Lepisosteus oculatus: one gene and its partner. The protein of the gene in region 2 purifies or fractionates together with the protein of the main gene of each other region. This does not show direct contact. Links are inferred from orthologs where the notes say so. Each region holds a gene or a part of one and is shown on either strand. Other genes may lie near its edges.

What was found.
Region 1: the proteins of kinesin light chain 2 (region 2) and kif5c purify together in Homo sapiens (affinity purification with western blotting; 3 studies listed by BioGRID and IntAct, with this or other methods). This does not show direct contact. The link is inferred for Lepisosteus oculatus from reciprocal best matches to the Homo sapiens genes KLC2 and KIF5C.

Annotation. Positions count from the first base shown.
Region 1 is NC_090707.1:2,880,434-2,888,013, forward strand, and holds the start of kif5c (kinesin heavy chain), read left to right. Parts: upstream 1-4,356; 5' UTR 4,357-4,793; coding exon 4,794-4,919; intron 4,920-7,580. Other genes in the region: epc2 (enhancer of polycomb homolog 2), read left to right, coding at 244-312. UniProt on the Homo sapiens protein: Microtubule-associated force-producing protein that may play a role in organelle transport. Has ATPase activity. Involved in synaptic transmission. Mediates dendritic trafficking of mRNAs.
Region 2 is NC_090713.1:22,597,270-22,604,955, forward strand, and holds the start of kinesin light chain 2, read left to right. Parts: upstream 1-4,606; 5' UTR 4,607-5,333; intron 5,334-7,244; 5' UTR 7,245-7,269; coding exon 7,270-7,515; intron 7,516-7,686. Other genes in the region: phosphofurin acidic cluster sorting protein 1, read left to right, coding at 112-347, 949-1,068, 1,564-1,682. UniProt on the Homo sapiens protein: Kinesin is a microtubule-associated force-producing protein that plays a role in organelle transport. The light chain functions in coupling of cargo to the heavy chain or in the modulation of its ATPase activity.

The DNA of each region.
Region 1 (7,580 bases), on a different chromosome or scaffold from region 2:
CTCTCAGTGGGGAGGAGAGCAGAGTAATGAAGCCAGTTCAGAGATGGGGATTAAAGAAAAACAGATCATGCTGTTTATGAAAGGCAAAGGCCGTAACTGCTTTGTAAGGAACTTATTTTGCCTCGGATAGTGGAGATGTAATAGTCCAAATTCCTCTTCGTGAAACAGTTAATGTAAAGTCATTGTATCGACTTGTTGGATGTTGGATGTCTGAGGTTTTTTTCTCCCTTCTGTTTCAGGGAGAGTCATGAGCCTGAAAGACTTGCTTTGAATGGAATATCGGAGACCACAGTGGCGATGGAGGTCACATAGCCCACATCACGGACCGTGCTCCCATGTCCAGCAGTTGACACATTTCCCAGAATGAATGCAAAACCTGTGCGCCCTCTACAGTTCGCAGGGGGGCTTTACATGGACCTATATGAAATAGCAGCATATCAACATATTAAGTTAATTTGTCAATATATAAATGTACATTTTGTAAAATTGGGAAGATCACTACCTTGTAAAATAGTATATTTGTATCATTAGTATGTTATTTCTGTTACTTGAATTCTAGATATTTGTCATCATGCTTTTGCACTCGAAAATGCAACTGAATGGAAAGGAAAAAATGTGCAACAGTTTGTTTTGGGATCATGAGCATGAGAAAGGATCCTATGTCACTTGTTTTAACTATTTATTTTGCAATGTTTACATTTTGTATCTTGTACAAATCAGATTTTGTGTCTACAAAAATATTGAGATTCGCATAGTTAGCATATAAAGTTCTTGTACTTTTTTTCTAAAAAAATGTATTTCACTTGATTCATTTGGTTTCACAAATTGAATATAGATGGTCTTTTGGTAACAAGTTTAGTGACATTTTTCATTAAGACAGGTATTTTCTATTACTTTGAAGGGGCAATGGGGAACGGATTGCTTTTTAATTTTTTATTTTAAATTTTTATTTGTCCTTTTTTTGAATGTTGTAAAAGTTACAGTAACACAGTTTTTGGTGTAAAAACAAGCTGTTGTATCCATAGGACCTATTTAAATTTTTAATGACAGATTTATGCATTCTACATTCTCATTCTTGCAAATGTATAAAAACAAACTCATTAATATATTTGCATTTTAAAACTTGCCGAGGTCAAGCCAATAAATCTTCCACAGGTAAGGGCAATACTAGTATGTGGGGTATTTGGAGACTATCTGAAACCTGTCGAACCAATCTTGGGGGGGAGGGGGGTACTTGTCACAACTGCTCATCCTTTCAGATTTTTTGTATTCTTTCCTGTGGCGACAAGGCAAGTAACAGGTGAGGAAGAACATGTCTGATGATCAGCGCTAGGCCTCCCTTAACGTAGTGTAGTGGTGTAGTGAGTTCCTGTAAAAAGATTTATAGAAATGTTTAGGCAACTATTAGTTTATGCACTACTTCAGACACATTTTCCCTGTTACTTGTACTTGGATATATTACGAAATGCAGGGAAATAAAAAAAGTATACATATCAGAATCGATTCCATGTCTTCATTCCTCACCGAAGAATAACTCGCCCTGGATTCTTTTGTTTCTTTAAAGAAACGCATCTAACATTTCCTTGAGCGCCTGTTGGTGGGGTAAGAAAATCAGTTTTGGTCCTGGGAAGCTGTGTTTTTGATTGTTGTTCGTTTCAGGGGTGAAAATTCGGATTATAGGGATGAGAGAATTGCTGCTAGGATACAGTGCTTATTACCTTGGTTCCAATTTCATACCGATGTTACTGAAAATAAATCCAGTCAGCTATGTTATTACCAGCGGTCTCCTATTATCCCGTATAGCCGTTCTTGTGCAGTTTCAGGAAGATTAAAGTTTCCAAAAGTGTCCGTTTGTGTTATCCTGCACGTCAAGGCATTACGCTTACAGATTTTTATTTCTGTAAGGGGGGGGGGGGGTATTTGTACACTTAGGAGAAGTCAAGAAAGAGCAGGTGGCATCTCCCCGAGATCAAATGACAAATAATAGAACTTGGCAGTTGTATCCATTATATAGCAGGGAAATTGGGACCACAGAGTTAAGCTTACAGCTAAAGACTCCACATGTTAGAACGATGGACAGTTCTGCCATCAGTTTACAACGGCTTACTGGCTTTGCTGCCACCTACTGTTGTCACTATAGCTTTAAATCCCGTTCTCTCATTCTGGGTCTACTCTGGTGCTCAACTACTGCTAAGCTCTTTAAGCTTTTCTCCATGCACTCCAGTCAAAACCCGGTGCAGGGTGAAAGCAGCAGTTCTCAAAATGCAGTTGCAACGGGGCTGCTGTCTGTACATTGGTGGTTGTTCCTCAGAAGAGAGACGGTTCCTAACCGTAGTACCAGCTTGTTTTGCTATTTGGCAATTTTTAAGATCACCTTTTTTTTTTGCATGGTATTAAACGGTATGGTTTCCACTAGCAGAGAAGCCGAGGTATGATTTTCTGTATTCAATTCCGAATGAGCACCTTGTCATGCAATTTAACCAGTAGGTGGCACTCCTATGAGGAAGCATTAAGCATTCCTGATTAGTACTGAAATAAATCTGGATTTGAACAGTATAATTTCTAAACGGCAAGTACATTTTTTTTATCTTAAGGTAAAATTCAAGTCGTGCTTTTCATATCACGTTTGGTTCATTCAAGCTCAGCAGCAAGGGGGTGTCAGTGTGGCAGAGCATGTTTCTAAACCTGCAATCGGAGAGACATACATGCACAGTTCTCCACGCTGCACATTTTTTTTACAATACAATTTGCTTCAGAACCTCCAGCTGTTTCCAAAGAGGCCTCTTGTTTCAGAGACGTGTCCTGCAACCTGCTGAAAGATACAATCTAGCTGTATCTGCTAGCGTTTGAGACCGCGCCGGCAGCGAAACAGCCTGGTTCCTGGAAATTGATCCCTTCACGTGGAGTGGCGAGCTTTTTTCTTGTTTAACTCCTTAAAAACTGTTGCTTTACCAACTGGTATGTAGAAGTGCAATAATAATTTTGTTCATTTGTATAACTTTCTGAATCGATATAAAATATATGAGCACATTCCTAAGAGCTCCACATACAGGAGGACCCCACTGCATTCCCCACCTTGGGAACCATGCGGCAGCCATTCTGTGCAGCAAAATGCTTCCTAACTGAAGGGGTCTTTTAAAGACCGAGTAGCCAGGACCTCAGCTGAACCGCACGGATGCTTCTACAGCAGAGTGGTGCCCTCTGCTGTGATCGTGTGTCGTTGGTTTGGAAATTCAGAACCACTGGCTGGTCCACCAACACCCTGGTCTGCCATCCCAGGCCTGATCCAGCCAAGCCCGACTTGGCCTCTGCAGCCAGTGAGGTAGACCTCAAACCTTCAGAAAACACACAGCAGCAAGAATTCATTAATTGGACATTACTTTCCTTAAAATGTAAATCTCTCCGCTTGGTCCCCAAATCCCAGAAAGATCATGGAATTTGTCTTAATTACATAAAAGCCACATCAAGCGAACAGGCCAGTTTCCGCATGTTAAATGATGTGTTTCTTGTGTTTCTAGTTCCCAGAAGGTTTCTGCCTCTTCTGTGCTGATACAGAACTCTGTCCCTCCACTGCCAGAGGCCCCTAATGAGCAGCTGAGTGAAAAACTTGTTCAGTACATCAGCCATTTCCCTCTCCTTGTCTAGACATTTACCAGTTTTGTCCCTAATGGATTTGACCTCATGTGGTTGTTTTGCTTTTGTAGTACTGGAAGAATTTATTCTCATCTATGTTAGCCTCCATTACAATATTCCTTTCAATTTCTCTCTTGGCCTTTCTGATATCCTTGGCTTACAATATCCTGTAGCATACTAATTTCATTAACTTGCACCCTGTTGTTTTTTTTAATCCCTCTGTTTTCACAATTGAGTTGCTGAACCTTTTCAGATGCTGTATTTTTAGCTTTTGCTTTTCTCACTCTCCGGATACATGTCCCCTGTACTCCGGGAGGAATCCGTTTAGACTGTTGTCATTCATTTTCCACTGAGCTTAACACCTGGGCCGCTGTGGAGGACCTGGCGGCTCCTTCAGAAGGCTGCCGTCTGAGTCCAGGCGAGTACGCCCTGTCCGCTCACGACTGCACAGCGGGACACAGCGGCAACCGCGTCATTACATTGGCGGATGACACCTTGTGTTTTACACCTTTTGTTTTTTTGACAATGGCGAGACTTTCCGTAAGAATCCCATTGTACCAGAACCGGTTACCCACGGCAGTAAAGTTCACGTTCAAGTTCAAGGAAGGTCGCACTGGATTCTGCAGAAGAACTACGTTGCCCAGAATACTTAGGTGAACCGACGGAGTTTATGATGTAAGGCTACGCCACGCCAGCCGGTGTGTGTATGTGTGTGTGTGAGAGTGAGAGTGAGGAGGAGCAGGGGAGGAGGCAGATCCAGAGGAGGGAAGGTGCCCGGTGCTGTTGCTGCGGGGTGACGGAGCGCGAAGGAGGATGCGATTTCTGAACTCCTGAGCTCTGAGCTGCCACCGGCTTCTCCAACACAGGGGGACACTGCATCCCCGCCTCCCGCGGCTTCAGCCTGCCTGCAGGGACTTGAGTGCTGTCCGCAGGAATACATGTCTGTATAGATGCATTGTCACACCTTTCAATGCAAGGAGATTGCAGAGCCGAGCGGCTGGTGGGCATGAAGGGGAACAGCTGATCTGCAGCAGACGACCATGGTGTTCTGAGGCTGACGCGACTCTCCTGGGCCTCCCCGGCGCAGTCTGTCCGTGCTTTTGCTGAAGAGGTTGTGAAGGAAACTTTGCATTATTGCGCTCTTGCTGGGGTAGACTGAGATGGCGGACCCAGCCGAATGCAGCATCAAAGTGATGTGCCGATTCCGGCCGTTAAATGCAGCCGAGATCGTAAGGGGCGACAAGTACATCCCCAAATTTAAGGACGATGACACGGTCGTTATAGGGGTAAGACCTTTATCTCTGTTTCTCACGTTAATTACCGAACGATGGTTGAGGGCATTGTTAATAAACGGGGTTATAGCTGGAAACAAGGATCACGCTTGCTTTAATGATAATCGGGACGCTTGCGGTCCTATTTATTTTGCGTAATCCGTAAAAAATCACCGTTATTTGTTTCGCACATCGGTTTGATCAGTTAGGTATGTGATTTTGTGGGCATTTAAATCTCCTTTGCTTTTTGACAGTTTCTTGGGCAGAAAGGGCAATGAAATACTTCCCGCTGATCATCTTCACAGCATGAAAATGATGTTTGGTAACGCGTCTCTACCTGGGTGTTTGCGGTGAAGAGCACGTTATTGGTTTTATCGTTATTTTGTTATTTTCTCCAATAAAGGGGAAGCTCAAACACGTGCTTGGTTGATTTGGTAAACGGTTAGTCAAACATTGAAGTACAGTTTGTCCGTGGGGGTCTAAAGTGTGAATCGACGCTGTTCGCAGCGGTAATGGATGTGGGAGAATAATTAATGGTCTGTGAAGTTTGCTTGTAACGCCGAGAGCTGCATCTATTCACAAACGGGAGCACGGAAAAGAAAACACTGTGTCGGAAATGTCCACTTTGTTGCGGATGTCTGTCCGATTGGTCCCGCAGCTTGCAGGAATTGCCTAGTGATGGAGGTGTTCGCTCGAAAGGACCCCCAGGCGGCGGTATGCCGAGAGCGGTGTTGCGGGGTTGCCTCACGGCCCGGCCGGCCTGCTCGGTTGCGGGTCCGGGCTGTCCGCTCGCTGCGGCAGCTCTCGCGCCGCGGTCCGGAGTGACGTCATGGGCGGGGGGGCGCTGGACTCTCGCCCATCTGGGTGCCCGCCGGCTTTGTGCTACCTGATGAGACTGCTTTCCATTTTCACTTTTTTTCAAAAAAAATTTGGGGTTGGTGGTGGTGGGGCTGTTAGATTACATAAAATGACGGCTCCTGGACCACCGGCATCCTTTGCTGACAGAGACGGAATATGCGTCTTTCTAATTTAGGAATTATGACTAAAGCGCGCTTGACACAGTGAACCTGCTGGCAAACAAAATTTAATAAACACAAAGCTGTACATTAAATGGTTGATCGCTTACTACAGGCGATGCTGACAAGATGATGGATTTTCGAAAGACTTCTGGAGCGATGATGGATGTGCGCAGATATTTCTGTTCCAGCAATACCAAGAGACTGTACCTTACACAATATGGCCGCACCCTGCCCTGAAGGTAGAAAACACTGCTGTCTGCTGTACAAGACACCCCCCCCCACATTCCCAGGATTGCCCTTGACAATTATAGTACTAATTAGAGCTAGAAACATTCACGCTGTAGTGACGCCATGCTTATTACCTCCTTCACAGAGGGAAAAACACAAGCAGCAAGTTGTTCTACTTCAGCCAGGAAGCGCTGAAGCGGTAATGGACTTTGGTTTGTGTTGTTATTGGGATCTGTGCGCAGGTACAGCAGTGAGAACAAACACCATCGCTTCTGAATCCATTCCGTTTGAGGTTTCATCTTTAATTAACACCTTTGTGTTTTTTTTCATGCTGACACTGAACCGAAGCCATAACTTAAAGGCACAACTGCCGTAAATTAACATTGCAGAGACACTTAGTCCATTCTAGGATTCAACTTGTCAGTGAATGGGCTGAGATCTAAAGAATGCTGAATCAGTGAGGCAGTCTAACTGCAGCAGAGCTCACTGGTCTGTCACAGAGCACAGACAGTGAAAACACTTCTCTCCCCACTGTCAGGGTGAGGTAATTTCATTGCATTTTGAACTCTTATGTAATAAAAATGAAACGAGTGACTATGAGCACAGTACTCTACTGGGTGCAGAATTTTGCCTCGAGAACTTGGCAGTTTTGTTTCACGTTTAAAAAAATCTGTGTCAGTTTTAACACATGAGATACCCTTTGAGTAAAGAACTTGCAGAAATGCCTGAAAGCACACACACCAGCCTCCTGGACCAGGACTGGCTGACAACACTCTCACCGTCGGACAAAAGGAGACGTTCATCCAGTTTTTTGGGGAAGATAAAGGAAGGCCAAAGGATGCCACAGTGGGAAAGAACATTTTGGAACAGAAGAGGAGGAGTAAAGATAAGGAGAAGCCAGAGATAAGGAGGAAAGTGCGAAGATGCAGAGAGGAGCTGGGATATGTGATGTGTGTTAGCAAATGTATCTGCCTGTGCGGAGATGGACTTTTAATTGATGATTCTGGACGTCTGCCGTTGGCTTTGGCAATCGTAGCGAATGGAAAGTGTGCTGTTGAAAAAGGCTGTAAAGATGGTTGTCATGGTACCTGAATTCAGACGAACATCGCTGCACCACACATCACTTCTGACAGTCCTGTTGAATTATTTATTTTAATTTAGAATTTAATAACCGGAGAACAAAAGCAATGACCATTTCTAATGTCCATTGTGTTCTGTTAATGTTTAATATTTTGAATTATAGTGACTGATGATTAATAACACACAACTGAACAATAAACTTTCATTCACAGACAAGATTTACGGTTAATTAAAACATAAAGGAAAAGGGGATTCATATTGCTTTATATTTTCATTTCTTTCTTTCACTGGAAGGGTACTGGATATGCATTGAAAACAATTAACAAATAACACAGGTCCACAACAAGGG
Region 2 (7,686 bases):
AGTCCAGGGTTTGGCAGCTGCTCGAGTGCAGACTGGCGCTGATGGTCTCGCGTTTGCCGCCATGCGAAGTGCTCTCGCCTTCAGCTCTGCCTGCCCTCTCTCCCGCCGCAGGAGTCCCAGCATGCCCCACGGCGTGGACGCCATCGGCCTGCAGGTGGACTACTGGGTGGCGCTGGGCGGGGAGAGGAAGAAGGAGGGCGAGCGCCGCGACACGGGTTCGAAGAACACCCTGAAGAGCACCTTCCGCTCCGTGCAGGTCAGCCGGCTGCCGGGGGCCGCCGGCGAGGGCCCGCCCGGCCTCAACACCATGTCCATGACCGTGGTCACCAAGGAGAAGAACAAGAAGGGTGAGTGCACACTGCCCCCTGCTGGTGCGGCGCCGCCGTGGCGCTGGGAGGGTTCCAGCGGGAGGGCCTGCCTGCCTGTGTTCCAGTTCACCGGAGCCAGTTCTCTGTTTGTGTAGGTTTTCCCTTGGGATTGCCAAGCACGTACCACCCCTCACTGTTTTTTACCACGGTGTCCTGTGATTTTTACCGTGTTGCTCTGCTCTTTGACTGGGTTCTACTGCGCTGGACTGTGCTTTCACCCCGATCTCACTGGGCTCTACTGTGCTGTACTCTGCTTTTACCCTGATCTCATTGGGCTCTACTGCGCTGTACTGTGCTTTTACCCCGATCTCACTGGGCTCTACTGCGCTGTACTGTCCTTTTACCCTGATCTCACTGGGCTCTACTGCGCTGTACTGTCCTTTTACCCTGATCTCACTGGGCTTTACTGCACCGGACTGTGCTTTTACCCTGATCTCACTGGGCTCTACTGCGCTGGACTGTGCTTTTACCCTGATCTCACTGGGCTCTACTGCGCTGGACTGTGCTTTTACCCTGATCTCACTGGGCTCTACTGCGCTGGACTGAGCTTTCACCATGCTGCTCTCTCCTGTCTCCGCAGTGCCCACCATCTTCCTGGGGAAGAAGCCGAAGGAGAAGGAGGTGGACTCCAAGAGCCAGGTGATCGAGGGCATCAGCCGGCTCATCTGCTCCGCCAAGCAGCAGCAGACCATCCTGCGAGGTGAGGGCGCACGCACACAACCGCACACTGCTACACACACGCACACAACCGCACACTGCTACACACACGCACACACACAACCGCACACTGCTACACACACGCACACACACAACCGCACACTGCTACACACGCACACACACAACCGCACACTGCTACACACACACACAGGCGCACACTGCTGCACACTGCTACGCACAAACAACCGCACACTGCTACTCACACACAACCGCACACTGCTATACACAGGCACATGTAGACAGACACGGCTGCACTCAGACTGCAATGCACACACACGGACGCAGATTGGCATGCTTGGACACGGGCACACGCACATGTAGACAAACAAGGGCACTCTCGGACACGCATGGACACGCGCGGTTCACCCGCGCTCCCACAGAGGGCTGCTCGAGTCCCTGTGGTCCAGCAGGCTCCTGGAGGCAGGTGTCTAAACCCGCCAGTGGCTGACCGGCCGTCCCTGCTGTGCTCTCTCTGCAGTGTCCATCGACGGGGTGGAGTGGAACGACGTCAAGTTTTTCCAGCTGGCGGCCCAGTGGCCCACCCACGTCAAGTATTTCCCAGTCGGACTCTTCAGCTACAGCAAGCCAGCGTCCTAGGACCCGCCCCCCCCAAGCCCACCCCTCCTGCGCAGCCATTGGCCAGCTCCCGGAACAGGCCCTCTGCCACTCAGAGCTCCTGGAACCCTCCCTAGCCAATCAGAGCCGGGGGTGTGGGCTTCTCCTCCAATCGCGTCACTCGTAGACTTCTGCTCGGATTTTCGTTCTTCTTTCGCTATAGCAACGGCTGTGGAGCACATGTGGATTGGATCGATGACGTCGCTGTTCGCTCACGCCCGTCTCCAGGGCAACGCAGGGAGGTGCTGGAAGAGTGTACAGAGGAGGGATGGGGTTACAGATGGAGTACACACACACACACAAAAATGGACACTTGCTGACCATGTCCTGTACAGAAGTAACTTTGGGCAGATGTGCTTTTATGTGTGTCATGTTATGCACCAGTTTCCTTGCGGTGTGTTTTCATTAGAGCATTAAGCGTATAAAAACCAGGCCGTGTCCTCTTCCTGAGAGAGCGATTGTGTCCGTACAAGATGGGTGATTGGTCATTCCTGGCGCTGGTGGAGATCAGAATGGCTTTTGGGAAGATGGGGGATTCCAGAGGCAGGGAATTGCTCTTTAAGCCAGGGGTGACCAGTACTAGTCCTGGAAGGGGTGCTGTCTGCAGCGGGGGTGTCCGGTCCTGGGCCAGGAGGGGTCAGTGTGTCTGCAGCGGGTGTGTCCGGTCCTGGGCCAGGAGGGGTCAGTGTGGCTGGTGGTCTCGTTAAAAGCAGCAGCACCTGTTCGATGGGTCCAGTTCTGCCCATGAGGCGAAGACAGAGCTTGTTAAGAGCCGGGCAGCAGGGGGAGCCCCCAGAGATGCCCGCAAGCCCCTTGGGCACAGTAGGGGACCACTCTGGGCCTTGCCCAGGTGCGAGAGGCGTGCCGTGCGACGGGGCGCAGTTTCTGTCCTGGGGGCCCACACCGAACCTTGCTGACTCCAGCCTGGGGCCCCCCTGTTTCCCGGGATCCCCCGCTCGGCTCCTCTCCTCGCAGGACTGGACTCCGGTAGGGGGGTGTGGGGGAGTCGGGGCGAGCCAGGAGCGAGTCCAGTTCAGTTCGCCCAAAGGAAAGGAACTCCGGTCTTAAACCCTCCCCCCCCCCCCCCCCATCAGAGCGAGATGGACTAGACCTTCCCATCCGTGCTGAAGGGGAAATGGACTGTTCCATTCTTTTATTTCTGGTGGTGGGGGGAGAGTGTGGCCTCACTGCCTTCATGCCTCTAGGGCGCTCCTAGAAAACACAGCCATCAGCCTCTTGTTGTTTTTATACCAGATGTGCACTTTACTATTAAAACTCCTATTTGGACGTGGGTCTGGCCGTGTGGGTGTGGACAGAAGTCCTGTAGCGTCAGTAGTAGTAGATTATATGATCACAATCCCAACCCCCCACCTCGTGTCCCAGACTCGTCCTCGTTCCTGCTGGATGGGTTTGCCCCGTTGGAACCCGTCTCCCTGGGAAAAGAGCCGGCCAAGTGAGCCCAGCCCGGTTCTGGAGGGGAGGGGGGCTCGGAGGGGTGTCCCTGGAGCAGAGGAAGGGGGGGCTGGGACGAGCGGGGCTCCGGACTCACCCATGCGTCTCCCATTGGTGTTTTAGTGGGATTTCCCCCACAGTCAGGTGTCGTGATTTGCTCTCCTCTCCCAGCGGCCTGTGCCCAGTGGTTGATTTTGTTCTAAAGACGTCGCAGGCGTCTCCCTGGACGAGCACCAGTGTGTTTGGGCCTTTTGTGGTTGTGTTTTGAACTGCGAGTTGCGGTGTTTGTTCCCCCCGGGGCAGGGCAGGCTCCGGCTCCGGCTCCGGTGAGCTCCGGGCCGGGAGTTCCAGGCGGCCAGCCGCTCTGCGTGCCGCTGGGCAGGCTGATTAATCGAGCGCAGCACTGCGGCGGGCTGGCCGGGCTGCCTTCTGCCCCCGCGGCCCAGCGTCTCTCGAACCCGCCGCGCGCCGCGCAGCCCTGGCAACAAGCCCTGCAGCTGCTGCTGCTCCGCGCGGGCGTGCCTCCCGTCGCCCCAGACGGCCGAGGACAACAGTCTGTTGGACTGGGGTCGGCGCTATGCCGGTTTCTGTTGCCATGAAAGACCCTCCCCTCCCCCTGCAGGGGGCGCTGGAAGCCACAGCCTGGTTCAGGCTGACCAGCAGCAGCAGCAGTGGCCAGCCGCCTGTGGGGCTGGGCCGATCTGGCACCGCGGGGCAGCGTGGCCGGGGTTCGAGACCGCTGGACCGTCAGCAGCGAAAGTCCGGCTCGGACCGGCGCCGCCTGCCTGCGGGGGGGTCCAGAGAAGCGAGGGGGGGTGCTGCGTTCTCCATTTCCAGCTTTTCCGTCCCCTGTCCGCTGGAGCCAGAGAGCCAGAGGGACGGAGCCGCAGGGCTGTCGATTCGGTGTGTCATTAAAAATCATCAGAATCAAAACGTTGGATTTTTAACCCGTCTCTTGTCACGACGCTGCGTCACGGACACCGCGGCACGCGGACGTGTAGCCCGCCGCCCAGCGCCCAGCACGCACGCTCACGCGGAGCTGCGTCCCGGGTCAGAGCACGGGCCTGACACCGCGCCGGGGCCCCGGGTTCAGCCGTCTGTGTGGAGTCTGCATGTTCTCCAGCGGTTTGTCCATCCACAGACACGCTGGTGGGGACACAGGGCCTGGTGTGTGTGTGTCCTGTGACCCGGGTGTGCCCTGCCTTGTGCCCTTGGGGTGCTGGGATAGAGGAGGAGGAGGGAGAGAGAGGAGAGGGGAGGAGGGAGAGAGAGGAGAGAGGAGGAGGAGGGAGAGAGAGGATTGAGGAGGAGGAATGAGAGAGAGGTGGAGGAGGGAGAGAGAGGATTGAGGAGGAGGAATGAGAGAGAGGAATGAGAGAGAGGAGGAGGAGGGAGAGAGGGGATTGAGGAGGAGGAATGAGAGAAAGGAGGAGGAGGGAGAGAGGGGAGCGGCCCCGGCTGGCGGCAGTGTTTTGGGCGGTGACGTCAGCGCGCCTGCGCCAGGGCTTCTGGGAAGCCAATATAGGCACAACAGCCATTTTCGGCTCGCGAGCGGCTGTCAGTGCGGAGAGCGAGCCAGTCGCGCGCAGCGGAGCAGTCGGGATGCCGGTTCCTCGCGACAGCTTGGTCGTGTGAAAAGAAGAAACAACAACAACAACAACAACAGCGGCGACCACGCACGGACACGGACACGGGCGTCTTTCTTTTCCCAAGAAAAGACCCTGACGTGCACACGAGTGGCGGGGGGACACGGCTCCGATAACCTTTCTCCCGACCCCCCCTCTCCCTCCTCCTCCTCCTCCCCACGCTGCGTGGATCCGTCCCGTTAGGAATGAGCCCGCCGTGCCGGATGCGGCAGTAGAACGAGCGAGAGCGCAGAGGTGCGGACACGCAGGGCAGAGACCCGGCGCGGGGGGCATATCTCGGACTGGGGGGCTTCCTCGCGTGCGTGCCTGTGGGGGACGGAGCGGGGGGGGGCGGCGCTGCTTGGACAGCCGACCCGGACAGGACCGGCGGGGCCGAACCTCGGAGACTGGACCTGCACCGCCAGCCCGCTTTCCGGGCCCCTCGGATGCGGCAGGTGTCGGGGGACCGAGCCGGCGAGCTGAGCTGAGCTGAACCGAGCCGAGCCGAGCCTTCAGGGGACGGGACGACACCGGCGCCTCAGGGGGCGAGAATCAGGTGAGTCATTGACCCGTGAGCCGCTCTTCCTCTCCCCGCACCCCCTCCTCCTCCTCCTCTCGCCCTCTCCACGGCTGTCCCCCCCCCCGAGGGGCCGAGGGCCCGGGTTCAGCGCGCTCCACCGCTTCATTCAGACACGGGACTGGGGAGGGGGGGTTCGGCTCTAGTGACCCGTTTCCAGACCCGATTCCCTGACCAGGCTGGACCCGGGTGGACCCGGGTTCTGGTGCTGACGGTGTCCCGCGTCACGTCACTCAGTGTCCTCTGTCCGGGCCAGTACCGGGGGGGTGGGATCGCGAGCTGTGAGACGTGTGAGGGGTTCTGGTTCTGGTTTGTTTTACTTTGCACATCCGCGAGTGGGACGTAAAGAGCGGATTAGAGCGAGCCTGTGTTGAGTTAATGGTCCCGGTCCGGCCCGGTTCGGCTCGGCGCTCCGGAGGTCTGGTGGGGGGTGGGGGGCGCGAGTCAGCTGGACCATGCCCATCCACGTCTGCACGTGCTGGCGTGTTTTGGGCACGCAGGGCGGCGGGTCGGGCACCCCTCGGTGACGGATGCGCGCGGCTGTGTGTGTTCCGAGCGGCGGCTCCGCCTGCGGGTCTCATGAAGTCCCGCGGCCCGGCGGCCCGGCTGTCCGGCTGTCCGGCGGCGGCCCGGCGCTCCCGTGACGCGGCGCTGTCCCCCGCGCCGGTTGGCGCATTGCGGTACCTCCGGCGCCGCGTGTGCGTGCTGGCGGCGGCGGGGGGGGGGCAGGCCCGGCAGGTGCGTCTGGTTGGCAAGTCGCTGGGAGTGTTAGACGAGCCCCCCCGCTTGGGCCTGTCCGCTCGCTAGCTCGTGTCCCCTTCTTGGTGGTGGTGGTGGTGGTGGGGGGCGTTGTGCTGGTTTTGGCAGCGCGGCTGGCTCCAGACCCCTGCCACTCTTTGTGTAGATGAGTGTTGTTCAGGGGTCGCTTTCCTGGACCCTCCACTCAGAGCTCTGTACAGGTTATGGGGATCCCCTCCACCCCCACCAGTGTGTACCCCCACCTGGATGATGCTCCAGTCCCCTCCCCACACCCCAGCTGTCAGTGTGTGATGGAGCCAGTTCAGAGAGGGGGGTTATTAGGAGGCCATGAGGGGTAAAGGCCAGGGGGGAATATGGCCAGGACACTGGGGTGACACCCCAACTCTTTTTGAGAAAGACCCTGGGGTTTTTAATGACCGCAGAGAGTCAGGACCTCAGTTTTACAGTATCGTGTCCCTGTCACTATAGTAGGGCATTAGGACTCGCACAGACTGCGGTTTGCGTCCCCACAGTGCAGTGCTGCAGTGCTGTATGACAGTACAGTGCAGCAGTGTTGGATGACAGTGCAGTGCTGTATGACCGTGCAGTGCTGCAGTGCAGCAGTGCTGTATGACAGTACAGTGCAGCAGTGTTGGATGACAGTGCAGTGCTGTATGACCGTGCAGTGCTGCAGTGCAGCAGTGCTGTATGACAGTGCAGTGCAGCAGTGTTGGATGACAGTGCAGTGCTGTATGACAGTGCAGTGCTGCAGTGTAGCAGTGCTGTATGACAGTGCAGTGCAGCAGTGCTGTATGACAGTGCAGTGCAGCAGTGTTGGATGACGGTGCTGCAGTGCTGTATGACAGTGCAGTGCTGTATGACCGTGCAGTGCTGCAGTGCAGCAGTGCTGTATGACAGTGCAGTGCAGCAGTGCTGTATGACAGTGCAGTGCAGCAGTGCTGTATGACAGTGCAGTGCTGTATGACCGTGCAGTGCAGCAGTGTTGTATGATGGTGCAGTGCTGAAGTGCTGCAGTGTTGTATGACAGTGCAGAAGTACAGCAGTGCTGTATGACAGTGCAGTGCTACAGTGTAACAGTGTTGTATGACGGTGCTGCAGTGTTGGATGACGGTACTGCCCCCTCTGCCCCAGGGCTCGGCGGCCTGTGTCGTGAGGGATGTCCGCCATGGTGCTGCCCCGGGACGAGCCTCTGGAGCGCCTCTCGCAGGACGAGATCGTGCTGAGCACCAAGGCGGTGATGCAGGGGCTGGAGACGCTGCGCAGCGAGCACGCCGCCCTGCTGGCCGCGCTGCTGGACGGGGTGGCGCTGCCGGACGGCTCCCAGCTCCCCGCGGCGCAGGAGAAGTCGGGGCTGCTGCGCAAGAGCCTGGACGCCATCGAGCTGGGGCTGGGGGAGGCGCAGGTACGGGGAGCGGGGGGAGGGGTCCCTCTGGGTGCGTGATGGGGTCGGGGGTCTCTGAGGTCAGTATCGGGGTAGCAGGACGGGGTCGGGGGTCTCTGAGGTCAGTATCGGGGTACCAGGAAGGGGTCAGAGGTCTCTGAGGTCAGTATCGGGGTAGCAGGATGGGGTCGG